7 linked regions of the Xenopus tropicalis genome follow. The protein of the gene in region 6 interacts with the protein of the main gene of each other region in a pairwise test. Links are inferred from orthologs where the notes say so. Each region holds a gene or a part of one and is shown on either strand. Other genes may lie near its edges.

Evidence for each region.
Region 1: the proteins of trim37 (region 6) and cwf19l2 interact in binary tests that used the Homo sapiens proteins (3 or more experiments, as listed by UniProt). The two-hybrid records come from large-scale screens. The link is inferred for Xenopus tropicalis from reciprocal best matches to the Homo sapiens genes TRIM37 and CWF19L2.
Region 2: the proteins of trim37 (region 6) and prc1 interact in binary tests that used the Homo sapiens proteins (3 or more experiments, as listed by UniProt). The link is inferred for Xenopus tropicalis from reciprocal best matches to the Homo sapiens genes TRIM37 and PRC1.
Region 3: the proteins of trim37 (region 6) and pnkp interact in binary tests that used the Homo sapiens proteins (3 or more experiments, as listed by UniProt). The two-hybrid records come from large-scale screens. The link is inferred for Xenopus tropicalis from reciprocal best matches to the Homo sapiens genes TRIM37 and PNKP.
Region 4: the proteins of trim37 (region 6) and copb1 interact in binary tests that used the Homo sapiens proteins (3 or more experiments, as listed by UniProt). The two-hybrid records come from large-scale screens. The link is inferred for Xenopus tropicalis from reciprocal best matches to the Homo sapiens genes TRIM37 and COPB1.
Region 5: the proteins of trim37 (region 6) and fam107a interact in binary tests that used the Homo sapiens proteins (3 or more experiments, as listed by UniProt). The two-hybrid records come from large-scale screens. The link is inferred for Xenopus tropicalis from reciprocal best matches to the Homo sapiens genes TRIM37 and FAM107A.
Region 7: the proteins of trim37 (region 6) and fam124b interact in a two-hybrid assay, tested with the Homo sapiens proteins (2 studies listed by BioGRID and IntAct). The link is inferred for Xenopus tropicalis from reciprocal best matches to the Homo sapiens genes TRIM37 and FAM124B.

The regions. Positions count from the first base shown.
Region 1 is NC_030678.2:160,240,233-160,243,732, reverse strand, and holds part of cwf19l2 (CWF19-like protein 2), read right to left. Parts: coding exon 3,466-3,500; intron 2,805-3,465; coding exon 2,649-2,804; intron 795-2,648; coding exon 714-794; intron 1-713.
Region 2 is NC_030679.2:108,141,106-108,144,605, forward strand, and holds part of prc1 (protein regulator of cytokinesis 1), read right to left. Parts: intron 3,198-3,500; coding exon 3,102-3,197; intron 2,992-3,101; coding exon 2,845-2,991; intron 2,119-2,844; coding exon 2,005-2,118; intron 741-2,004; coding exon 633-740; intron 176-632; coding exon 1-175. UniProt on the Homo sapiens protein: Key regulator of cytokinesis that cross-links antiparrallel microtubules at an average distance of 35 nM. Essential for controlling the spatiotemporal formation of the midzone and successful cytokinesis.
Region 3 is NC_030683.2:117,566,168-117,570,394, forward strand, and holds the start of pnkp (bifunctional polynucleotide phosphatase/kinase), read right to left. Parts: upstream 2,801-4,227; coding exon 2,674-2,800; intron 2,241-2,673; coding exon 2,194-2,240; intron 1,925-2,193; coding exon 1,379-1,924; intron 701-1,378; coding exon 621-700; intron 338-620; coding exon 280-337; intron 1-279. UniProt on the Homo sapiens protein: Plays a key role in the repair of DNA damage, functioning as part of both the non-homologous end-joining (NHEJ) and base excision repair (BER) pathways.
Region 4 is NC_030680.2:3,437,592-3,441,091, forward strand, and holds part of copb1 (coatomer subunit beta), read left to right. Parts: intron 1-2,264; 5' UTR 2,265-2,320; coding exon 2,321-2,411; intron 2,412-3,229; coding exon 3,230-3,459; intron 3,460-3,500. UniProt on the Homo sapiens protein: The coatomer is a cytosolic protein complex that binds to dilysine motifs and reversibly associates with Golgi non-clathrin-coated vesicles, which further mediate biosynthetic protein transport from the ER, via the Golgi up to the trans Golgi network.
Region 5 is NC_030680.2:147,931,170-147,935,392, reverse strand, and holds the start of fam107a (protein FAM107A), read right to left. Parts: upstream 2,801-4,223; 5' UTR 2,628-2,800; intron 1-2,627. UniProt on the Homo sapiens protein: Stress-inducible actin-binding protein that plays a role in synaptic and cognitive functions by modulating actin filamentous (F-actin) dynamics. Mediates polymerization of globular actin to F-actin. Also binds to, stabilizes and bundles F-actin.
Region 6 is NC_030678.2:95,237,447-95,241,395, reverse strand, and holds the start of trim37 (E3 ubiquitin-protein ligase TRIM37), read right to left. Parts: upstream 2,801-3,949; 5' UTR 2,636-2,800; coding exon of another isoform or gene 2,498-2,635; coding exon 2,477-2,497; intron 1-2,476. UniProt on the Homo sapiens protein: E3 ubiquitin-protein ligase required to prevent centriole reduplication. Probably acts by ubiquitinating positive regulators of centriole reduplication.
Region 7 is NC_030681.2:123,829,070-123,833,092, reverse strand, and holds the start of fam124b (protein FAM124B), read right to left. Parts: upstream 2,801-4,023; 5' UTR 2,644-2,800; intron 1,369-2,643; 5' UTR 1,288-1,368; intron 419-1,287; 5' UTR 409-418; coding exon 1-408.

The sequences.
Region 1 (3,500 bases), about 65 Mb from region 6:
ATCCCCAGCCAGTTTATGGCTATGACCCCAATTCCAAGGATATCCAGAATTATCTCTGGTGACCTCTTAAAGTCTGAGCTCAAGTGAAAAAATAAATCCAATTTCTATGTTCCGATCACACAGAAATCAGCGGGGGATTAAACACTAGATACATGCAGATTAAGCTACATTCTAAAGTGGATTATGCCAGATATAATTACAGCCAGGCAATGATAGGAAACTCTGTTGTGTAACATTGGGCTCTGAGAAGCAGACGTATTGGAACATATAAGCAGATAAATCATCATCATTAGTCAGAACAGTAAAATGCCTATGTATGCTTGGGTTCTCCCCCAATGGAAACACAAAGGGAATACATGTATTTCCAATTTAGCCTGTGGATTTGCATTGAAGCTCTGATTTTTGCTCAGTTTCATAACCCTTCAATTGATTTATAGCCAATACTATGGTTATTGTTTCATATTTTTAAATACTTTTGGAAATCTGCCATAAAAAGCCATATAAATCTTGATCTCCCTTGTCTTGAAAACATGAATATGTAACATTCTAACAGACTCCAGCCTCCATATTACACCATATAACAGAAGTATGAGTGTGCTCATTTCAAGAGAATCACATAGAAATGTCTCAATGTGATAATGAGGACAAAGATGGGAAATATAGAGGGATGGCAGCTCTTGGATAGTAAAATGTTTAGACTTTTTTAAACTTACAGCTCTTCGAATATCCTTTGTAGACAGGTCTATTAATTTCTTATTCATGGACCACTCCTCATCAGATTCCATTATGGCTTTCTGGTTTAATGAAAATAAACGCATGAATACATTGGTTAACATGGGAGATGGAATAAAAAATCAGCAAATAAGCCCTTTCTGAAAGGAACCAGAATTCACTAAATGGGCTAAATGTACGGCTGGATGGTAACATGGAAACCTTCGGGCGTTATGTATGTGATACCCGGCTCTATCAGCCAAATGTTCAACGAAACTGGAAAGTATAAACCATTAAAAACATCTGATATATTGACGACACTCCATTTAAAGTAAATTTGCAATTCATCGTAGGTTGGCTGACGGATACACTGCCGCTGATTTGTGACTCCAATATCTGCCCATAAATCTCTTATAATGGGTTTGTAGCTGGTGTGAAGGGAACATGTTTCTGTGAGCTTAACAGTCAAATGAATGAAACAACACAATGTATTAAACTGGTCAAGGTAAAGTGGCCATTAAACTGTTACTCCAAACTCTTATTCCATTGATTGGGTTTGTAGTCTCATTTGGTTCATTTTTTTCCTAATGAACATTTGATTTTTTAGAGAAAAATACAAGTAAGGAGACCAAACAGTGCAGTTTGTTGCCATTTCTCATTGGTCATGGCAATTTATTGATCCCAGAATGAAACACGTTGGCTCATTTTCAGAGTTTAGTTATTCCAAGATACAGTTGGACAAGGTACAGTAGTAAAGGTTGGAAAGGTCGATTCTGATAATCCAGTAGCCTGTGAATTTTACAGAAGTTTTCTGTTGTAAGTAAGTGACATTAATTAGACTTTATCTGACTCTTCCATAATCACTTACTGGCCTGTAGAGCATAGTGCCATCTTTCCTTTGCTTCCAAGAGGCACATGTGGCTTGGGCATAGGATTTCAACTCAAGTCACCACCATTTTTTGAGGATGGGGGGTCATCCAGCAACTGACCATAAACTGAAGTGCCACCTGTCTTATGTAAAATCTACCCCTGGAGTCATACTTTATATACAAACTATTCTATTCACTCATGACTCGTTTGTATCATTTAAAGGAGAAAGAAAGGGAAAAACTAAGTACGGTAAGCTTTATTGGAAAGGTCTATGTAAATACAGCCATAAGCACTCACAGAAATGCTGCACTGAGTCCTCTATCAAAAGAAACACAGGATTTCTTGTCTACTTTTTTGTAAACATGTTCTTAGGGTATCTGATTTCCTCTCTCAGAAAAATCCTTCGTTCCTGGGGCCAGAGTCTGCTCTCTTCCCTCTCCTGCTTCCCCCTCCCTTAGGAATATGTGATCTGAGCTACCAACCCCTAGAGCTGCAGCAGCTACAGTTACGGAAACTGAGCTAAAATGGCAGCTGCTCTCCTAAACAAACAGAGAAAGCTTCTAGGGCTGTTTACTCAGGTATGGTAAAGGTTTCTGCAGAATAAATATAGTAGCACTAATGTGGCAAATCTATTGGCAGTAAAATGCCAAACTGATTTTCCTTCTCCTTTAATAGCTAGTAGTTGTTCAGAAATTCAGAATAGCTACAGGTTGCTATTTGCTCTTTATCTGCAAGAGCTTGTCACTGTTGTAGAGAGTGAATACCACACAGCTTTAAAGTTTGGCAACTTCTGTCACCATCTGGCTGCAGATGAAATGAATGAGCTTGCAATTATCATGCCCACATTCCCAGAAAGCAATATTAGACGGGACAATGACAAACCCTTATATCTAGATCTTATTATGCTGTTTTACATAACTACCCCCTTAATCTGGCTACTTTGGGAAAAATTCCCTATTACCTTTCTTCACTAGTTCCCATGGCACTGTGGCTCATTTCTTTATAAACCTGAGGTTCTTTATATCCGTCTATTGCTCCTAATAATTGAATGCAAGTTGATAATTTACCTTAAAATATATTGGTGCCATATCACCCACTTCCTTTGGGAGAGGAATGCACTCATAGACCAAATGCAACCGTTTTCTTGCATATATGTTTGACTCCAAGAAGACACAGTCCAGACCTTTAGATTCAAACATCCTGACCAAGGCTTTCCGGAACACCTAGAGAGAGACGAAGCAGCCACTTGCTCTTTTAGCAATAACAAGGTTTACTTTTAGAACATAAACAACCAGATATGCCTTTATTTATATAAAAGTCAACTGCACGTTTTCATTTATCTTCCGGAAATTAGGTTAATATATTGGTTCTTGTTGCTTATTAGAAATGGGATCTACCATGTAAAACGTCAGCATATTTAATGTGATGGAACTGTGCTGTTTCTGCTTATGGAATGTTTATGCAACTGGTAAGGGGGTAAGTTACAAGCTGGTGTTTTAACTGCCATACTTTTGAACTTGAGCACTATTGTCAAATAGCAGTGCCCCTCAGATGTAAGAATCGTACAACCTCTGTATTTTCTGAATAAATATGAAATGGTGAAGAAGCAGCAGATACATCTGTATGACCTAGAAAGCGGCATACTGCTTAAATAGCACCTGTCTTACCCATCCCCAGCCTTACCTTAAGCTACAGGCATCTCTAGTCTGCTCAATTTATTGATCTACACCATTAAACTATAATGCAGCCTTCTCCTTTATCCCCCATATTTCAAAGCACTCCACTGCCACTGTATGGTTACTGCTGGCAATGAGCTGTGTTATCCATGGAATCAGGTCGCTAACATGACAAGTAATATATATATAGAATCGCTATTAAAAGCACCTGGATTTCATTATAGATGTCTTCATCCAGCAGAG
Region 2 (3,500 bases), on a different chromosome or scaffold from region 6:
AATAGGTGCTTGCAACAGAGTTAACGCTGATGTTACGTTGAGCAGGAATTGTGAGGTAGCACCCACCGCTCATGGCGGTTCCATTCAACTGGGACATATTCTCTTTGTTCTTCTCTAGCCGCTTTGGCTGTGGGGTTTTGAACACTCTGGTTGGAGTTCGTGATGGTAATCCGGGCTGATTAGAGAAAGAAAAAAAAAAAAATATTGAACAAACTATATGCTGATCAGTATTCCACCTAGTCAACAACATATCTAGTGATTGATTGTCTGAAAATGATAAAATAATTATCCAGTATAAGGAACTATGGAGGCCTTGGGCAGATTTGCATCCATTTATGACCCCTGAATCTCCAGTTGGACATCCTTATTTCCAGCTTTGGATATGGGTATACAGAAAGCTTAGCACTTTTTACCCATAACATGCAACGCTCCTAAAATCGAATACAACATGCATACATTAAAGGGGGAAAAAAAAAACAAAACAGACATTCTATCTGCATTTGAGCCAAATGAACATCTACAAATGTTTGTGCACTTACATTGTGCAGTAAACAGAACTCAAATCAGATGTAAATAAAATTGCTTGGGAGAAATAAAAATTTACAAAAGCACAGTCTAGTGAATTAACTAACCTTGCCACCACACACGGGTGGACGAGATACAGGAGAGTGGCACATCGTCCCACTGAATGCAGAGCGCAGAGTGCTGTTGGAGGAACTGGAGATGGAGGTGCCATTAAGCTGCCGGGAAAAGCAGGTAATGTTAATATTTATTAGTTAATGCCAGGGTATGCACATGCACTTCAGTGGCTTTCAAGCAAGATACAAAGTAGTACTTTAAAACATTAACAATGCTTAGTTAATATCATTCATGCACAGAGATAAAGGTAGGGAAAACAAAAAATATCAGTAAAACAAATATTTTGCTTGTCTAGCATGCAAGCCAAACCAACTAGCAATTGGAAATACTATCAACAATTTCCAGTCATGCTTATCTATGGATAGAGTTTTTTCACTGTCATGTATGCAGTGTATTCGTTGTAATGAATATGTTGCCTGCTGAGTAACCCCAGCTCCAAGCCATGCAAGGAGTAAAATACCTTTTTATTTAAAATACTGAAAAGAAAGTTATGATATTTCCCTTGTTTTAGTAAATTTCTTACTCAGGCTTAAATGGTGTTAATCACTTCAACGGTTATAAAAAATGCTGCTATGTTGACTTCTAAGACCATATTCTGATTATTATTTGTATCTAAAGTAAGACAGCATAGTATTACAGAAAAAAGACAATGTTTTAGAGTTTACGTGATAAAGAGATGTTTAGCCTTTTTAGTACAAAGATTAAACTGCATTTCCTAAAAATATAACTAAGTAGGGATGCACTGAATTCAGTTTTAGATCACATTCTAACAATTTATAAAATTTGAATTCTATCAAAACCTTGGTTTTATTTGAACCCAATCCAAATTCTAAAATTTCACATTTGTTCCCACAGATTTGGTTCGCAATTAGGTCAAATCCAAAAAATATAGATTTTTGCACAATTGTTATGAGCCTTGCAGGGCAGAAGTATGCCAGAGAAACTGCTCAAAATACAAATGCGTTATGAACAGTGGTCATGTGTTATTCAAAGCTTTCATCAGGTCTACAGGAAGAACTCCCCTTATAAAAAGTGCTGTTGCTGCTAGAAAATATTTCATTTTCAGACAGATGTAATCTATAAATGTACATAAATAATTTCACTTGTGTTATTGGCACTTTAATGATCAGATGAGCATGAAAAAATGTACATTTATGACCTATGGTCTGGATTGTGTGATCTGAGTAAAGATACAACATTTTCGTAAAACTTGGCTCCTCAAATAAAATTTAAATAGCGAACTGCTTTGTTCCATATCATGCAACCTTTTAATTTTCATTTCGTTTCTTACATCTCACTGCAGACAGTATGCAAATCATTTAAGAACATTAAAAAAAAAACAAAAAAACAAAACCAAATACATACCTTTCTACATTTACTACTAGGTGTACTGGGTCCAGGCACTCGCCTCTTATTAGGGGTTTTTGGTGCACTGCCATAATACATTTCCTCCTCAAGCTGCCGATTCTTCTTCATTAGCTATAATAACAGGAATGTATAAAAATTCTAAATAACACATATGCTAAGGGAAGACAAATACCAAAGTAACAGTGGTAAATGAATCCCTCCAATATGTTTGGGATGGATACATAGTATGATGTCAATCACACATTCAGCCTTAACTTTTAGCTTATGGACATAAAGTCTATGGGGCAGATTTACTAATCCACGAACGGTCCGAAGGCGTCCAAATACGTTTTTTTCGCAATGATCAGTATTTTCTGCGATTTTTTTCGTCGCCGTCGCAACTTTTTCATATGTCCCGCAATTTGTTCATCGCCGTTGCGACTTTTTCATATATTTTCCGCAACTTTTTAGTCGCGAAAAAATCGGATTGGTTTTTCCGTTTACTATCGCTCAATATGAAAAAATTGCGGCAGCGGCGACGAAAATGTTTGTTTCCAATACGATTTTTTCCCTTTCGGGATTCGGATTCGTGGATTAGTAAATCTGCCCCTATGTGTATGATAGCTTCACAATTTTAGAAAGGGCACAGGACAACACTGTGGTTCTGCCAGACTGAGCACAGAAGTGTTAGACTGCCCTAATATAATATTGGGTGGTTTAACAGCACAGAGCCTAAGATGTTTCAGCCCAGCTTACATGGTATCAGTGGCTTGGCTTGTTGCATAGAACTGGCCTCAGAGACAAAACTCTGCAGCTCCACAGTGAAATGTATTTCGTAGGGCTGCCTTTTAATCCTACCCGTTCTTGTTTCTCCCTCTCTTTATCCTGATGAAAAGTCTCCCATTGTTCTGCAACATAGTCCATAAATTTTTTCTCATTTACAAAGAATTCCTGTCCCTGTTCTTGCTCCCATGCAATAATACTCGTTTTCAGCTCTTCTTCCAACTACAAAACAGGCAAGACATTAGAAACATTAGAAATGTTTATGAAAGTACTTAACAAGGAGAAGATAATATCACTAGAGGTTTAGTGTATGCGCCTGGCAAACAGCATACCTTTGGAAGCATCTTCTGCAGTTTTGCCCTTTGCTTTTCTTCTTTCAGCAGATTGCCCCCTCGATTTGTGAACCTATTAGGGTCTGTAGCTTTTTTCTGTTGGGGGGAATGAAGCGGAATAATTTATATAATTGTGATAGGAGAAAATAGGACATTCGCATATCATATGAGTGAACTTTTACTCATGTACAGACTCTGAAGTATGCACATTTGTACAAGCCCACTCCTTGTATGGCCACCTTTAGTCTGTGACATAAGATGATGCTACAGGGCTGATTAAAAATATCTGGATTCTAACTGTACTGATGCAAGATTTCTACCCTTCTTCTTTGTTAAACTTTGGTTCTCCTTTAAGAGTTACTGACCCTCTGGGCCTTCACAAAGAGCTGTTGATCTTAA
Region 3 (4,227 bases), on a different chromosome or scaffold from region 6:
AGAGGGACAATTTCTAGCAGGGCATCATGCTGGCGACAAAATACCGGGATTCACCCCATTGCCTTTTTGTTTATGTTTTGGAGCTAGGGAATAAAGGAGTTAACTTACATGTGCTGTGTCCAGGAACAGTTTCCTATGCATGGCCACTGAGCACTTGCTTAGAAATGATTTCTACTGGTGCTGAGAACATTTTCATGCAGAACTCTGATTAAATAGCATGGCAATGTCACACACTATGCCAGGAATTATAAATCCCACATAAAATTCCAGAAGACATACCTTGTAGCCATTGGCTAGAAGCTCTTTTAACTTCCTGGGAACCTCTGGATATAAAATTCTGTGAGATCAAGAGAAACATAATTATACACTGTGCACTGGTGCAAACAATAAAATTTGCCATATTACTTGCTGGTGAAAGTGAATGCTAAACAGTTTCCAGGCTCCCAAAAGCTACATTAAATTCACGCAAAGGAAATTTTGTTCGCATAAAGGCATACATTTTGTGCCCTGTGATTATTTTTTCCATAGTGCCTTTAATTACTTCCCCCCATAAAAGTGTTAAAAGGTTTTAGACTTAAATGCCGAGATAAAATGAACGCTTTTATTTCCTTTTAACTTACTTCCAATCATCAGCGTTTACAGGGAAGACTCTTCCTGACTTTGTTGTTATAATTGTCCCGTCAATATCAAACCCAGCAATCTGCAAGATGAACAAGTTAGTGATTTATAGCTGCTTTGTACATTGTATGCTCTGAGTGCAACTCATTGGCTTACAGACTGCAATAAAGATTTGTTTAGAAGCTACCGTGCTAAAGCTGGTTATACACTTAAGGGTGAAGGGTGACCCGGCCTAACATGCAGTTCTTGAGGGTAAAGACACACGGAGCTACTAGTAGCAGCTACTAATCATAGCTAGTAAATGCCAGAATATACCGTGCCATAGACAATACTGAGAATTGCCTTTGCTAAAACACATGTAGAGACATTTATCAGTAAACCATCAGCATTGTCTGTTTTAGTAGCCGTGATAAGTTGATGCTACTAGTACCCTAAAGAACTGCATGTTTGGCCAGATCTTTGCATGATTTTGTCACCCACTCACTGGGCCTAATTAAGCTGATATAATTTTTGGTTTACGAGACCTGGGTGAGAAAAGTATGGTAAGGAATGTATCAACATGGCAATGTGGTGCTGATCGGATGGGCTTCTCAAACCAGCCTGATAGATACTTATCCCGTATATCAAGAGGCCCCATACATGTACGAATAAGTGGTCTTGATTTGGAGGGGCCAAGCTGGCAGCTATTATTGACACATGCAGGCCAGCTTAAGACCTATATATGCCCTTAAACCCAACAGAAAACTAATGGATTTAATACCTTAGAACTGGCCTGAACCCCTTTCTTGTTAAAGAGAAGAAGCTTCCCATGTTCTTCCCAGGAATCTTTGCTACAGGCAACTCCTCTCTCATCAGTTGAAGAAACCTGAGATGGGTTCTCGCTTGGCTTAGCTTTAGCCGCCGTTTCCTGCAAGTGAGACAGTTTGCGTGCTATTTCCTCCTCTTCTGAGTCATCCCACTCTTCTCCAGCCTCAGCTTTTGGGTCCTGGTACTTTGGCTTCTTGTTGCTTGATCCAGTGGAAGTGTTATCGTGCTGTATGCGCCTCTTTCCTTTGGATGTGGAGGCCCCAAAGAAATCTGTTATTGTCTTCTTGGATGATGTGGAAGGGGGTTCAGTTATGGTGTTCTTTGGTGATTTCTTATTGATTTTTCCAGTGTCAGCAGCAGGTTTAGGACTATCTTCCTTAAACATTACAGTATATGGATGTAGCCTATTCACCAAAAAAAGCGTCTGATCTTCTTTCATTAAAATGCTCTCTCCCTTCTTCAGCACTGCTTCTCCAACTGAGCAAGGGTTTGCACCCAACTATAAGTAAAAACATGAAGTCAGGTTAATTACACTCACTAAAACATAGTCTATAAACATACAACAAATGTCATTAGTGCCAGATTCTGGATAAGGACATACATGGTCATTGGTCAAAGACACACAAATAATTAAGTCACCCGGGATACATGCTCTAGTCAAAGTGTTGCATTTGATTGGTTGCTTCAGATAGTGATAAAGTAGTTACACTGAAATAAGCTGTATAGAGCTTCAATTATCAGTCATCTCCAATACAGTAGGTATCTTACCTGGGTTACATGGACTGCTCTGTTCTCCAGATTAGCCACAAGTTCCACTGGAAAAGAGCATTTTTTAAAATGTTTATTTTTTATTCATAAAACCACTTTTTTCACAAGGATGTTGAAGGTGCTACAAGTGTTCCAGTCCCACAGGTCAAGAGTAGATTCCCTACTACTTACTGTACTTTGTTGAGGCATTTGTGCCCTGGGTGATGCTTTGGTGGATACCAAGGAAAAGGAACCCTCCATAGCCATAAGGTAAAGGAATGCCCCTGCTCTACCATTAAGCCAGACCTTCCCTCACACTGTGATGAAGGAGGGTCTGAAGACAATTACCTCTGCAATGCCTTTGTACTGAGGGATAAAAGGGCCCTTTCCTTTCTAAAGAAAAGCCTTTTAGGCACCTGAGGTTAATCTCTGCTACCGCGGGTGACTAATCTCCCCGAAAACCCTTTCCACCAGCAATATATTTTTTACATGGGTCCCTACCTTGAGTCTTAGAACACTTCCTGTCTGTTACAAGGGTTTCTGGTCCTCTTCCTAAAGTGACCCCTTTACCATCAGGAAGGGCAATGGGACTGTGCTTTGCATCAACGCTTCTCAAGTAACACTTCATTTCCACGGATTCTGTGAAATTATAATTAGGATTATAGGGTGCAAAAATACACAGTCAACAGAGTGAACAGGGCCCTCTTGTCAATCACTGTAAGCCTTTCATTGACATATTTAGTATCATCATGTCTCTCACCTCCCCATCTACCCTCATCTTCCAAAATACAGTGCATTTGGATAGGGCCATGCTAGGCATTGTATTCACTTGTTTGGCCCCAGCTTCAAATAACCAGCAATGAACTTTACATTTAGGGACTTTATCAGGACTAAATACTATTGTGTTTAGCAGAGACATCAGCTAGCTCCATTTCTTCAGGGCAATAATCTAACCCTGCCATTTGTCCCTTGACAAGCCACAGCTAAACTGTTACTATCATGCTACAACTCCCAGTAGAATGTGAGTTACACAGGACTATCTCAGATGGGCCTTTTCTGTAGGATTGGAAAAGGCGAAAACTTGGGCAGCCAGTGGTTCTTAAAAAACACTTAACTGTTTATTAGCCTGAGCCTATCCTCTTGAGTACCTATGTCGATGGTGAGACACATTACAACTTTAAAAACTTAAAAATGGCTATGATGACCCTTCTTTCCTGCTTTTTGGGAAAACACACTCATAGGGAGCAATGTGGGCTATCTCTAACATTTTGATCCCACACATGCATAGCCGACATATCTGCTTTTATCAATAATAAGGTCATTATCACAATGCACATCAGACTTGCAACCAACTGCACCTACTGGCTGGCACTGGACCTGAGCTGCCATGTAGCAGAGGATATGGCTTAAACTGGCCATACACAAGTGATAAAGGCTCTGACTCTACCCCTTCTGGTTAAGTCGGCAGCTTATTGGCCTGAATATGGCATCCCCCAATCAGGCTGCTGACTGATATTTCCTTGAAAAGTGGCCACACATCTTCTCAGAAGCATTGGCCCACAATGAGAGCTGTATTGATACACATGTATGACCAGCTTAGCTCTGCTACTAAGTACTGCATATACCTAGCAACCTAAGGAAACAAGCCAGGCATGGAAATGCTTACATATAAAGTACAGATCAGCTTTATTGCTTTATAGATATGGGGACCTTTGGCACACCTGCCTCACATCCCGGGCTTATGTCCTTAATACACATGTTGAACTAAAAACCCCAGCATGGCTGTGTGGCACTTCTCACGTGTATCAGTCCTGCTTGATTTGGCAGCCCAACACCACAATTATGTATAATGTCAATAAAGTATATTTTTCCCACTAAAAATTTAAATATATAACTTTGTTTATAAAGCTCTGAACTCTTTTTTGTAACATAAAAAAGTCGCTTTTCTTGGTTCCCCCCACTTTCCAGCCCTGTGTTACCCTTTATCTACCAACTACATTATATTTTCCATTGCAGCCTCATGTTGGCTCCAACCTTGGAAAACTAAAATCGGGA
Region 4 (3,500 bases), on a different chromosome or scaffold from region 6:
CAGAACCCACAGCGGGATAAATACAGTGCCAATTCCATGTATAATACCCCAGAACCCACAGCAGGATAAATACAGTGCCAATTCCATGTATAATACCCCAGAACCCACAGCAGATAAATACAGTGCCAATTCCATGTATAATACCCCAGAACCCACAGCAGGATAAATACAGTGCCAATTCCATGTATAATACCCCAGAACCCACAGCGGGATAAATACAGTGCCAATTCCATGTATAATACCCCAGAACCCACAGCAGGATAAATACAGTGCCAATTCCATGTATAATACCCCAGAACCCACAGCAGATAAATACAGTGCCAATTCCATGTATAATACCCCAGAACCCACAGCAGGATAAATACAGTGCCAATTCCATGTATAATACCCCAGAACCCACAGCGGGATAAATACAGTGCCAATTCCATGTATAATACCCCAGAACCCACAGCGGGATAAATACAGTGCCAATTCCATGTATAATACCCCAGAACCCACAGCAGATAAATACAGTGCCAATTCCATGTATAATACCCCAGAACCCACAGCAGATAAATACAGTGCCAATTCCATGTATAATACCCCAGAACCCACAGCGGGATAAATACAGTGCCAATTCCATGTATAATACCCCAGAACCCACAGCGGGATAAATACAGTGCCAATTCCATGTATAATACCCCAGAACCCACAGCAGGATAAATACAGTGCCAATTCCATGTATAATACCCCAGAACCCACAGCAGGATAAATACAATGCCAATTCCATGTATAATACCCCAGAACCCACAGCAGGATAAATACAGTGCCAATTCCATGTATAATACCCCAGAACCCACAGCAGGATAAATACAGTGCCAATTCCATGTATAATACCCCAGAACCCACAGCAGATAAATACAGTGCCAATTCCATGTATAATACCCCAGAACCCACAGCAGGATAAATACAGTGCCAATTCCATGTATAATACCCAGAACCCACAGCAGGATAAATACAGTGCCAATTCCATGTATAATACCCCAGAACCCACAGCAGGATAAATACAGTGCCAATTCCATGTATAATACCCCAGAACCCACAGCAGATAAATACAGTGCCAATTCCATGTATAATACCCCAGAACCCACAGCGGGATAAATACAGTGCCAATTCCATGTATAATACCCCAGAACCCACAGCAGATAAATACAATGCCAATTCCATGTATAATACCCCAGAACCCACAGCAGGATAAATACAGTGCCAATTCCATGTATAATACCCCAGAACCCACAGCAGGATAAATACAGTGCCAATTCCATGTATAATACCCCAGAACCCACAGCGGGATAAATACAGTGCCAATTCCATGTATAATACCCCAGAACCCACAGCGGGATAAATACAGTGCCAATTCCATGTATAATACCCCAGAACCCACAGCGGGATAAATACAGTGCCAATTCCATGTATAATACCCCAGAACCCACAGCAGGATAAATACAGTGCCAATTCCATGTATAATACCCCAGAACCCACAGCAGATAAATACAGTGCCAATTCCATGTATAATACCCCAGAACCCACAGCAGATAAATACAGTGCCAATTCCATGTATAATACCCCAGAACCCACAGCAGGATAAATACAGTGCCAATTCCATGTATAATACCCCCAGAACCCACAGCAGGATAAATACAGTGCCAATTCCATGTATAATACCCCCAGAACCCACAGCAGGATAAATACAGTGCCAATTCCATGTATAATACCCCAGAACCCACAGCAGATAAATACAGTGCCAATTCCATGTATAATACCCCAGAACCCACAGCAGGATAAATACAGTGCCAATTCCATGTATAATACCCCAGAACCCACAGCAGATAAATACAGTGCCAATTCCATGTATAATACCCCAGAACCCACAGCAGGATAAATACAGTGCCAATTCCATGTATAATACCCCAGAACCCACAGCAGATAAATACAGTGCCAATTCCATGTATAATACCCCAGAACCCACAGCAGATAAATACAGTGCCAATTCCATGTATAATACCCCAGAACCCACAGCAGATAAATACAGTGCCAATTCCATGTATAATACCCCAGAACCCACAGCAGGATAAATACAGTGCCAATTCCATGTATAATACCCCAGAACCCACAGCAGGATAAATACAGTGCCAATTCCATGTATAATACCCCAGAACCCACAGCAGGATAAATACAGCGCCAGTTTTTCTTTATTTGTAATGTTTTTTTCATTTCTCCTCCAGGGCCGCCTCCTCATTTTATACAGCAGCGAATCAGAAGGCTGAACTGCCCCGGCACCATGACTGCAGCCGAGAATGTGTGTTACACTCTCATTAACGTTCCAATGGACTCGGAACCTCCATCCGAAATTACTCTGAAGGCGGACTTGGGTGAGGCCCCTCCCAACTCCCCTCCTTACTGTGCATTAGTACCTAAAGGGGTTGTTTACCTTTGAATTAACTTTTAGAACGATGTAGAGGGTGCTATTCTGAGACAATTTGCAATTGGTCTTCATTTTTTTTTTTATTTCCGGGAGTTTATTAATTTTACTTTTTGTTCTGCAGCTCTCTCTAGTTTGGAATTTCAGCAGTTTTCTGGTTGCTATGGTCCAATTTACCTTAGTAACCAGAGAGTGACTGATATATAAATAGGAGAGGGGCTGAATAGAAAGATAAAGTAATAAAAATTAACCATAAAATTGTAGCCTCACAGAGCAATATTTCTTTGGTCAAATTCCAAGCAACTTTTCAATTGGTCTTCATTATATATTTTTAATAATTTTTGAATTATTTGCACCTTTTTTCCTTTTTTTTTTTTTTTTTTTTTTTTTTGCAGCTTTCAAATGGGGGTCACTGACCCCGGCAGCCAAACCCTATTGCTCTGTGAGGCTCCAGTTTTATTATTATTGTTACTTTATGTTATTTATTTTGCTATTCAGTCCCTCTCCTATTTATATATCAGTTTTTCAGTCAAGCGTCTCCATGGTTGCTAAGGTAATATGGATCCTAGCAACCAGAGAGCTGCTGAACAAAAACAGAAATAATTAAAAAACTACAGATAATAAAAAATGAAGACCAATTGCAAATTATCTAAGAATATTATACTCTACATCATACTAAAGGTTAAGAGCAGGGTTTCCCAATGCATCACTGGATACGGGGGGGTACACGTGAGTAATTCTCTATTCCCCCCCCCCCCCCCCCTGCAGAGAAAGGAGATGTGAAATCCAAGACGGAGGCCCTGAAGAAAGTGATCATCATGATCCTAAATGGAGAGAAGCTGCCGGGGCTGCTGATGACCATCATACGGTTTGTGCTGCCGCTGCAGGATCACACCATCAAGAAGCTGCTCTTGGTCTTCTGGGAGATTGTGCCCAAGACCACGCCCGACGGGAAACTCTTGCAGGAGATGATCCTCGTGTGCGACGCCTACAGGAAGGTGAGAGGGGCGTGGCTTTAGCGGTGGTGGGTGACTCCCAT
Region 5 (4,223 bases), on a different chromosome or scaffold from region 6:
AGCCTGAAGGCCAGTTAGGGGGATTTGGGGTGAGTGCCCTATCTATGTGCCTGTGTATGAGCTGCTGCCCTGTACAAGTTGCCCCATGGCTCACACACAACTTGCCCAGTAGAATAACAAGCCAGCCCATAATCACAGCAAACAGACAGGGTCGCGGGATATAAACACGCCATGTAGCGCAGTACAATGATACCCCTGAGCCGTGGGAATTCTATACGGGGTTAGAAATTCTCTGATCCAGGAATTGCCTCTCAGACTCGGCCAAATCCCCAGGATTTTCAGCAAAATCCGGTTTCAGACGGTCGAATGCGGCTTTTCTTGTGAGTTCCCTGAACACCTGAGTCTCAAAGTCACCAGCCACGGGCGCTACAAAGTCACCCAAACCCCCCCATGCAGTGCCCAAGGTGGTGGCTCACAGGGGATTATGGGAGATGGTGGCATAGGTTATTTAACTTTATAATACTAAATTCCACAGTCAGACTCAGACTAATCCCACTTAAATTCCCCCTAATCACTGCATAACAGAGACCACTGCTACGGATTGTAATAATAATAACCCCCCCCCCCCCCCCAAATCGTGTCACTATCACTATTGATCCCTAGGGCAAAGGTTAATGCTGGGGAGGGGCAGATAGAGATCACTAACCCCCCCCCTATAAACCCCCTTGTGAATCCTACCCCCCAGGTAACAGGCTGTGGGTCTGACCCTGTATGTAAGGCTCAAAATTAAAAGTTTAAAGGGGAAGTAAACCCCAAAATAAAATAATGCCCAATGAAAGAAAAAGTTGTTGGGATTATGGCCTCTTTAAACTGTCAAAACTGGAACATGATGGAGAGAGTAATATTCTGAGACAGTTTGCAATTGGTCTTCATTTTTTATTATTTGTAGTTTTTTTTTTTTTACAGTTTTTGTTCAGCATCTCTGCTGTTTGGAGTTTCAGCAGCTATTTGGTTGCTAGGATGCAAATTACCTTAGCAACCAGGGTGTGGTTTGAATAAAAGACTGATATATAAATAGGAGGAAACTTGAATAGAAAAAAAAAAAATAATAATACTAAAAAGCAGCAATAATTAAACTGTAGTTTCACAAAGCAATTGTTTCTGGCTGTGACCCCCTGTTTGACAGCTGACAGAAGGTAAATCATTCAAAAACTATAAATAATAAATAACGAAGACCAATTGCTTAGAGCTGGACATTCTAGAACATACTAAAAGTTAACTTAAATACCAGAATACAAATCTAGTTTTAAACCTGCTGCTATAAGGTTGCTAGGGCTCAGGCACCCTAGCAACCAGGTAGAAGTCTTCATAAATTAAAACACTATGACAAAAAAAGAACATATGAAACTTTGTTTCCACTATTTCCCTCTGGAAAGTACAGTGAATCCCTAAGGCGCCATACGTAGAACCCCCATATTGGGATCGGCGCCCCGCGGAGAGGGTACGAGATGCAACACCATACGGCTCCTTTCTACTGTCCCAATTCATGACTAAGTGGACTACATTTCCCATCATCTATTGCACAGCGCTGCGGAATATGCGGGCACTTTATACACTTATTATTAATAATAAATCTCCTACAGAAGAGTCTCCTCACCCAGAATACAATATCAGCGTGTGAATTAGCCACTGTGACCCCACGTATTGGGGAAATTCTGCAGGATACATGATATATATATATGTCTATTTGTTGCAATAAATGGACTTCTTTGCTGCAGAGACACATTTCCCTGTGATGGCGAGTGACCCGGAGAGAGGGGGGGGGGGGTTAGTAAATATGCCCCAGGTCTATAGGGAGAATTAATCCCCCGGCTGTATAATCCGGATACGTACAGGTGGTTTCTGTGACAACTCATAAGATCCAGCCGATGCCGCACAGTAAGGAGAATCTATTGCTGATGACAGGGCAGTTACATAAACACCTCCAGCAGTGGGGCAGGGAGACATTCTGCCACATGGAACCACTTACAGGGGGGCAACTAATCCAGCAGTGGTGCCTAGTGACTGTACAGAGGGAAGTAAAAGCAGGTCTCATTGGCTGCTGTTGTACTACAACTCCCAGCATCCCCTGACAGCTAAAAAGATCTATATTACAACAGCTGAACAGCCAGAACTCCAGGGCCACTCACACTAAACTGACTGGGTAGATAGATAGATAGATAGATAGATAGATAGATAGATAGATAGATAGATAGACAGATATAGATAGATAGATGATAGATAGATAGATAGATAGATAGATAGATAGATAGATAGATAGATAGATAGATAGATATGGATAGATAGATAGACAGACAGATATAGATAGATAGATGATAAATAGATAGATAGATAGATAGATAGATAGACAGATATAGATAGATAGAGAGATGATAGATAGATAGATGATTGATAGATTAAATGAGAGATAGGTGGAATCACAGCCCTACAGTAGTTTCTCTATGGAAGCCAGTGACTTGCCCCAGGGAGGGGTACTTACAGCTGAGGGTAGGTGCCAGGGTGCGTGTAAAGGCACAGGTGGCAGATGGAGGGCACAGGGGGTACAGAGCAATGCAGTTCCCTTGCCCAGAGGAGCCCCCCCCCCCCCCGCACTAATCTCAGCCCGTAACTCCCAGGCACCCACTTACCGGACTTAACCAGCATGGCTCTGTGCATTCCGCTAGCGGGGGCGTCCGGCACCCTCACCCGATCGAACCAGGATCTCTGGGACTGCATGCCGGCCGGCTGGGTAGGTATGTAGCTGGGTATGTAGGTGGGTAGGTAACTGGATAGGTGGGTGGCTGTTACCGCTGCGCTGAGAGTACCGCTCCCGGCTCGGCCATTGGCACCGACTGCAGCGCCTTCCCCCCCCCGCCCGAGCTTTTCAGTCAGAGCAGCATCACGTGATACGAGAGAACTCCCCCCCCCCCTCCCCTCCGTGCGGCTCCCTCTCCCATTCCCCTCTCCGTGTGTCCGTCTGAGGGCCCCACACTGCCACCTCTGTCCCCTGCACTAACCTCATAGGTCCCCACACTGCCACCTCTGTCCCCTGCACTAACCTCATAGGTCCCCACACTGCCACCTCTGTGCCCTGCACTAACCTCATAGGGCCCCACACTGCCACCTCTGTCCCCTGCACTAACCTCATAGGTCCCCACACTGCCACCTCTGTCCCCTGCACTAACCTCATAGGTCCCCACACTGCCACCTCTGTGCCCTGCACTAACCTCATAGGGACCCACACTGCCACCTCTGTCCCCTGCACTAACCTCATAGGGCCCCACACTGCCACCTCTGTCCCCTGCACTAACCTCATAGGGGCCCACACTGCCACCTCTGTCCCCTGCACTAACCTCATAGGGGCCCACACTGCCACCTCTGTCCCCTGCACTAACCTCATAGGGCCCCACACTGCCACCTCTGTCCCCTGCACTAACCTCATAGGGGCCCACACTGCCACCTCTGTCCCCTGCACTAACCTCATAGGGGCCCACACTGCCACCTCTGTCCCCTGCACTAACCTCATAGGGCCCCACACTGCCACCTCTGTCCCCTGCACTAACCTCATAGGGCCCCACACTGCCACCTCTGTCCCCTGCACTAACCTCATAGGGACCCACACTGCCACCTCTGTCCCCTGCACTAACCTCATAGGGGCCCACACTGCCACCTCTGTCCCCTGCACTAACCTCATAGGGACCCACACTGCCACCTCTGTCCCCTGCACTAACCTCATAGGGCCCCACACTGCCACCTCTGTCCCCTGCACTAACCTCATAGGGACCCACACTGCCACCTCTGTGCCCTGCACTAACCTCATAGGGCCCCCACTGCCACCTCTGTCCCCTGCACTAACCTCATAGGGGCCCCACTGCCACCTCTGTCCCCTGCACTAACCTCATAGGGGCCCACACTGCCACCTCTGTCCCCTGCACTAACCTCATAGGGGCCTACACTGCCACCTCTGTCCCCTGCACTAACCTCATAGGGGCCCACACTGCCACCTCTGTCCCCTGCACTAACCTCATAGGGGCCCCACTGCCACCTCTGTCCCCTGCACTAACCTCATAGGGACCCACACTGCCACCTCTGTCCCCTGCACTAACCTCATAGGGACCCACACTGCCACCTCTGTCCCTGCACTAACCTCATAGGGGCCCACACTGCCACCTCTGTCCCCTGCACTAACCTCATAGGGGCCCACACTGCCACCTCTGTCCCCTGCACTAACCTCATAGGGACCC
Region 6 (3,949 bases):
AACATTAAATAACCCAATAGGATTGTTTTGCCTCTAATAAGTATTAATTATATCTTAGTTGGGATCAAGTACAAGGTACTGTTTTGTTATTACAGAGAAAAATGAAATATTTTGTAAAAATCTGAATTATTTCCTTAAAATGGAGTCTATGGTAGATGGCCTTTTCCGTAATTCGGAACTTTCTGGTTAATGGGTCCCATACTTGCACTTGACCTGCTACACAGAGAAAATCAATATCAGTGTTAAACCTATCAACTGCAGTGGCAGTGAAATTCTTAACAGCAGCCAATTCTACTGCAGATGAAAGAATATGATTATGTGCTGGTAGCTGGCTGCTACCACCAGGAATGGCATTCTAGTATACCCTTTAGGGAATGCAGATGGTCTTTCTGTTGCAATAATTAGAGAAATAAAACTGCAACAGACTCCCAACATTTCTGAATTTACTCTACTTTGCTTGAGCACAGCCCAGACCAGCTGTTGACCTGGGGTCTGAGTTAATCATTACTACCCCAGGGATTACCCATTTTTTCCCTTTAAAATGTACTTAATTTTTACATGCTTCTGTTGGGTTAGCATAATGGCTAATGTTTGACTGTGATAACATGTAATTATTGGAGCATCTGATTTAGGTTTTCACAAGTGTTTACAGGTGTCCAAGCATTAGGCAAAACAAAGTCATTCCTATTATGACAGGTTTACACAGGCTAACTATAAAGAAAAATGTTGCTGTTCAGTATTAACCAAACTTTAATAAATAAAATTTTGGAACAAGCTTTAACACTCATGTAAAGTCATCACACTTTTTGCTACTCACTCCCATACACCAAATGACAAAATGTAATTACAACAAATATTCTTGTGAAGATAACGTTTGTAATGATATGTCTGGACAGGTATTAAAGAAAATAAGCAAATAAAACCAACCATTCAATTCAAGAGGAAGTCACGGACTGATTTTAACAAAAAATATACACAAAAATAGGAGGAGTCCACTACCACAATAAAGTTGGTCATACAAAGGCAGATTAGTTTGTTTGGGGACCATGCCAGTATACAGAATCTTTACCAATTTTAGTTGGCCAATATAAACTGATGTGGCCCAATGATAAGATCACACAGGGGACATCTTGAACCTTTTGGGAGTAGAGCACACCCACATTCTGATGTGCCCTCATAACAGATTTTTTCAATCAGTAATAAGCTAAGGAAACCATAGTTTTGACCCCATATACATACCATTAATATGCACACAAAGGCATAACAGACTCACCAGTCAATACTAAACTTTGTATGGTCAACATTACCAAATGTGAAAAGCAGAATTTTTGGGGTCTTAAGAGTTTCCCTGGCATTTAGTTATGACCATACTGAATTGTATGTGTTTAAAAATGTGCTGTGTAACTATAATGGGACAAAGTTTGTATGTAAAGCCCAGTTCAAAACACAAATAAGACAATATATAACACTGAGGAACAGTCCTGTCCAACTTGCCCTGGTGTAGATGACAAGGAAATATATAAGATGACAGAGCCATGCACATCAAGACCAAAAAAAATAAAAAATTGTTATTTCACTTACCCTAAATTAAATTTTTTCCTCATTTTACACTTTGAGGTCCCACTAATATAAAATGTATAATGCATTTGGCTGATTTTACACCATTTTACCTGGACAATGTAAAATGGGGGTTTTACAGTGTTTGGGCAGGGCATGCACGTTACATGCGGAACTGGAAGTAGTATACAATGCACATGGGTTAAACTGAAAGCTCCATACTGAATAATAGGAGAGAAGGTAACATTTTTAAACAAGCACACAGGATTTCTGGTTTCCAACGGTGTTCTATTTTTTTTATACCATTTTAGGAAACGGAGCTCTTAATGATGAGATACATTATAGTGAAACCTCAATCTGACATACCCTGATTTGAAGTTGTCCCTCATTTTACACTGGGATTTTTTCCTTTTTTCTTCTTGTGTGGTCCCCCCAATATATATATAATACATTTCCCTGAATGTACACCAAACACATAAAACAGGGGTTCTACTCTATTTGCAATTATTATATGAATAACTAAATTTGGTACCCCACTTGATTTTTTGATAAAATGTATCTAAGTATGTTACTTGCATGAAGAATTTTGAGAATTTTTGAAGTGATACATTTTACACTTACAAGTGTATTTGCTTATATGGAGGATCTTTTTCAGGGGCCCAACCTTATTTTTGGGACCATGGAGACAGACACCTTCTAATCTTAATATCCCTCCTGAATACTAAATTAAGAGCAATAATAAACTTCAGCATCTAATATAAAAATAGCCCCAAAACCAGGGTACAAAACCCCACTCACAATTGTTAAATGCAATTGACAGATATTTTGGAAGAAGGACACACCAAAATGTATAGGGTGGTCTGGTAACCCTACATATGTGACAATTCTGATTGCCAGAGCTCTCCCCCTCCTCTCTCACCTCCACGCTTTGCTCATCCATCTCCTCCAGTTTGGGCTCTTTGATCTTGCAGTAGTGCAGGGATTTCTTCCTGGACCTGAAGTAGGTCAGGTACCTGACGGTGCTGCACAGACAAGTCAGAAAATGATCAGTAAAACGCCCCCTTTCAGCTGCAGACATGCAGCAGCCGGGAGAGTGAAGGGAGACGAGGGGGGCAGATGGACACAAAGACTAGCGGTCAGACCGCGGCTGAACATTCAAGACAACTTATGCCTGTATTAAATTAAAATAGGAAGGTAATTAACAGCAGTCATTTATAACACTGGAACCAGCAGCCGCCATCTTTATTCGGGGCTTGTTACTCAGAAACCAGCGACGCCGCACTGAAAAGATGGGGAGGGAGGCGGTGACAACTACGTCACTGCGCTCGGAGCTGCACGGAAACGTCAAGTCTCGCAGCCAATCAGCAATTCTCATTTATGTTCACGTCTATTTCTCACTACCTTCCATTTAGTTGGCGGGTTAGGATGTCAGTGATTGGTAAATGCGTCGATAAAAAAGAGCAAAATAGTATAAATACTTTGAAAAACATACAGTACGTGGCCCAGTAGTTTAGACTACTAGGATTTTTAAGTGTGTTTCGTATTTGTTAATAAATTGCCTATTGGATTGCACTGAAACCATGGCAGAATTTTAGACCAGATAGAATTAGGACGAAATGCTGTTTAGATCGAATAGCTTCTATATTTTCTTTTTAAGCTTGTGTCTACAAAACAAAATCCACTTTGTCATCACACTGCTTGCTACAAAACAGTTGCTGCAAAATACAGCCACATAGATGAGGTGATGCTTATTACATAAAGCTGGCCATGCAGAGGCAGCCTAAGCTGCAAATTCAGACCCACAGACCGAGTTGGCAACATATTTACCTATATATTGGCCACCCCTGAGTGCCTCCCATGTGCCACGTCTGCCATAAGTAAAGGTGAGATGAGAACCTTGCCTCAGAGCAGTACGTTGCATGTTACCAGGGGGAAAATTGCGTGGGGGAGTAAGGGTAGGGTTTCCAGTGAGCAGTGATGTACAAGGTCTGGACAGTGTCTTAAATAAACTGGGGGTGGCCTGCTATGATTAACTACAAAGGAAAGGTAAAATTGGTTTGAATAAGGTTTTAAGTGTGCAGGCCAGGGGCACAAGTAAATAGTATTCCAAGTGAGAGGATCAGGCCAATGTGGACCAGAATAAAGGTGGTAAAATCACGCTAGAGTTGTCACCTTTTTTGTAATTGGCCTTCGGGTGGGGGGACTAGGAGGTGATGTTACACGGGGTGGTGAAATGAGTGGGGCATAGGCAGGACAATCCTTCAAAGGGGGAATGCAGCAGCAGAGTGGGTCAGGGATGGGAGGGATTAGTAGTGTATTACAAACCCCAAAGTCTTAAGATGGCCATACACATTAAGACTGCCAAATTAATTTATCTTCACCCGATTTAGGG
Region 7 (4,023 bases), on a different chromosome or scaffold from region 6:
AATTTCTGTGCCATAATGGACATGTCTCATTTCCCACACAGGCATGTGGGAATCAAGACTATAATAATCACAAAGCGGCAGTTTAAAGGGGCAGGATCTTCCTTGCTGGAAGTCTGCGATAACATGAGTCCATGGAGGTAGCTGGAAAAAACTTTGCAGGAGATCAATCCTTTCCTCTCCCAAGTCCTCACGCAGGAAGAGTGTCACTGATATCCCTGGGAATTCAGGCCTTTTCGTTTGGCACTCATACAGCTTAATGGGAGCAGCCCGTTCCGACACAAGAAACAACCGGACATCTGGACATATCCTGTGGAGAAGACGGTCAACTGCAAGTTGAAAGGCAAGCGAATCACCCGAGCTGGCAAGAAGATGAACAGTGAGAGGCAAAACTGTTTGTCTTTCATCCATTTAAATGTTCCTGAGTTAAAAAAAAACAGAGAAAGTATTTAATTATAAAGCACAAACATATTCTGCAGCCCTATACAAACGGAAGGGTGTTACATACAAATACTGACTGCTGCAGGAGGTAAATGCACCAATTAATACATGTAAAAAAGTGGCATGTTTTAGACCTCCTGTTGCATGTCAGGATATGCATGGTATGAGCCAACTGAAAACACTGACTCAAAATGTGGAGCTCTATGTTTCCTATAGGCTTGAGTGGTCTCCTCCCTTAGTACATAATACATACCATACAGATCATAGCCCTCCATTTGATCTACACTTATAGTTTGTAAACCCATTTGTTAATTTAGAAATTAAAGTATTGCTGCATGTATATTACTATTTAAGAAATGATCACAGTTATTTATATCAATAACTCCTAGGCTGATATCAATGTGCCTTATATTTTTCTCCTGTGCACAGATGTATAAAATGGGTGGAGTATATAAAATTTCCTCTGCATGCAAAGAAGGTATATTCAATAAATAAATATTGCTTTCATACTTCTAGATAAAGTTCTCGAGAGCTGCAAGTGGTCCTTAGGGACAGGTTTTAAAAATGTACATATCATTTTTCCTTTTTACAGACTACCTTGTCTTATGTGTCTCCAAGTGACTGGTAAAAACAGAAACACTCTTATCCATAGTTCTACTTCTACATGGCCTGGTGCAATGTCAGCCTGCCTTGCAACACACACCCAACCATCACCATGCACACCCCCGGATGTCACTCACTGGCTTCCTTACATCCTACCTGCCAGTCACTCCCCTTCCACCAGTCGCCAACAATGCTCAGCCTGCACCCCCCACAATCACACCCTAAGAATGTGCCTATCCTTCCTACCGCTAGTTCTGGCCTTGAGTCGACCATCTTGTTCTTGGGTCATGTTGGAGTTCTTGGAGCCTTATGCTTTGGATCACTATCCTGCAGAAAGATGAACTGTCACTTTAGTTTATTAGCAGAATGAAACAGGTTCAGTTTTTTGCAGTAGCCATTGTTTCTTCTTTTCTTTCAAAATGTCCAGTCCCTGCTAGCAAAAAAGCATCCCCACATCATGATGAGACCACTATTACAGCTAAAGGTGGCTCTAAAAAATAATAAAGAATGGGGATTTAATATCTGCACAAACTCATCAACTCAATGCACTTATAAATGGAAAATCAGCCTTTCCGGAAAATGTTTCTACTTGTTCAGGAAAAGTCCTCTTCCTTTGATTGTATGCTGTACGCGACTGACTAAATCTGTGTCTACACCCATCAGTAAATGTGAACTTCAGAGCATTTCAAAATGTAAAAGATTTACTAAATGATGATAGTTTTTTTTTCCTGGAGAAAAACAAGTATAATTCCCAGTTCTGAGGTATCTGGCTAAAACATTATTTCTTGGTACTACAAAAAAAGGGATGGTGGGGTTTGAATAATACATATTAAAGATTAGCCATAAGAAGGTGCTGTTTTACTAGAGTCCCTAACTGTCTGCTCACAATCTTCCAAAAAAGCAGATAGTTCTAAAAATTAACATATTTTCATTGCATTAACTATTTATTGCTGCTGCCCTGGAATAAAACTGTTGATCTGATCATACAAACAATCACAATGATCACAGAATTTCTTCATAAGGTTTTGAATTCTGCTTCTCATCTCCACATCTACTTTAATACGGCTGCCTGTAGCTTTAATTGCAAGTCTGAACTGTAGTCTGGGGAGATTGGCTTGAGTAAATAATACCACCCGTTCTTTTGTTGTTATGAGATCCCAAAGTGGCAGTGTATTACTAGAGAAGGGAAATGTTTTGTACCGTATTAGCCAGTCTAAAAAATTCTAGGTAAAACTGTGCTGCTGTCCAATGACTGACAGTTGCCATCTATATATGAACAAATTATATAAACTGCATCAGTGACACTGTGAACCCTAAAATCAGTTACTGTTTAGGAGGATGGATGTCCAGACTGCGTAGTATAAACTTTAACTCCCATAACCCACCGTATAAACACAGGGAGTGCTGAGGCTAGAGATTCTGCATTAGCATACAATTCTCTATATTTAGATTAGTTTACAAGTAAGTTTCATAACTGGAAATAGGGTGAATTGCTTAAGCATAAAAAGCCCACAGATGTTAAGCATACACAATCTTGCCTATTCCCCAGATTTTGACTGTTCTTGTTGGGAAACTTAGAGCCTGATGTAAATCTTTACTAACCTGCTCTGTGTGATGGCTGGCTGCTGGCTGCTGCTTGAAGAGGAACGTTTCTGTGCTGCTGTACTTGTACTCAGAAGGAGAATGAATGCCCTGACCTTTTCTCAGTACTACTTCTCCTGGGAAGAAGCCCACCATTTCCAGCAGCAACTAAAGCAGAGTCTGAGCAATTGTGAGATAGTAATTTATGGCATGGGCTGCCACACTGTTCTTCCCTCCCACTCATCTACACTATAAAGGATTCACAATAGAGTTGAAGACTTGGTAACATTTTAGGAAAATCTTTTGTTTCTCTGTAACACTGGCTTAACTAGAAGTTACTTGCACCCCCTTTCCCACTAAACTTTGGTAATACATAAAATCTTCATAAACTTATACTGAAACTGCTTTTCAATCAGAGCCCCGCTGGGCCCTCTACCATCCTGGTCCCCAGCAGTTGCAAGGTCTGCTTCCCCTTTACACTATCCTTGTGTGTAACAGCCCTAACAAAAAAAAAGTATGTTTGTTACAAATATATATATAGTCCTTTGCACTTTGTGCCTTTATATGCCTGTCTATGTCAGCTGCATTAATGTGGAAAAGGTGCTCCAATTTGTAATACTTTGTTCTAATGCAAAGCCAGTGATTCTGCCCCCCCCCCCCAGTGATTGTAATTGCTAACATTATACCACAGGCTGGTGCTCTTGCTCACCGAAAAACTGCACCGGCACGTGGTACAGCCATGCTATCATCTTTTTCTCTATTCTTGATCTCCCCTTTCACACACAAATAAAATTAGAAGCAAAAAGCTTTTCATTCTACTGCACATATGTACCCTGGCTGGGGCTGCTCATGATGAGATGCTCTTACAGAAGTCCCCTGGGCAGGTGCAGTTTCACCAAACATTAGCACTAACCCAGGGGCTCAGGTATTTATTATCACTTGGGGTGTCTAACATTTTGCACCCCCTGTGATTATACCTTACCTTCTCCTTTTAACAACAGATTGGGTAGCATCTTGCAAACAGTACTGATGTTAGTAGCTAGTACTTGAATACAGATCCTTCAGATAAGAGCACAAAAAGAACAATGATACACAGGAGCACTTACCACACAGCCCAAGTGTGCTACATGTAGACCCGCTCCCAGATGGGTCCTGGAAATAGAATATAAAGAAAAAATATATAGCGGAGCACCATGAGGATAAAAATAAAAATCAGTCTTTATTCCATCAACAGTAAAAGGCACATGTACATCCCAATGGATGTACCTTTTACTGTTGATGGAATAAAGACTGATTTTTATTTTTATCCTCGTGGTGCTCCGCTATATATTTTTTCTTCAGATAAGAGGGCTGATTTGTTACAGTTCAATCTGGGGAATCCAGAAGGATTCTTTGCAAGCA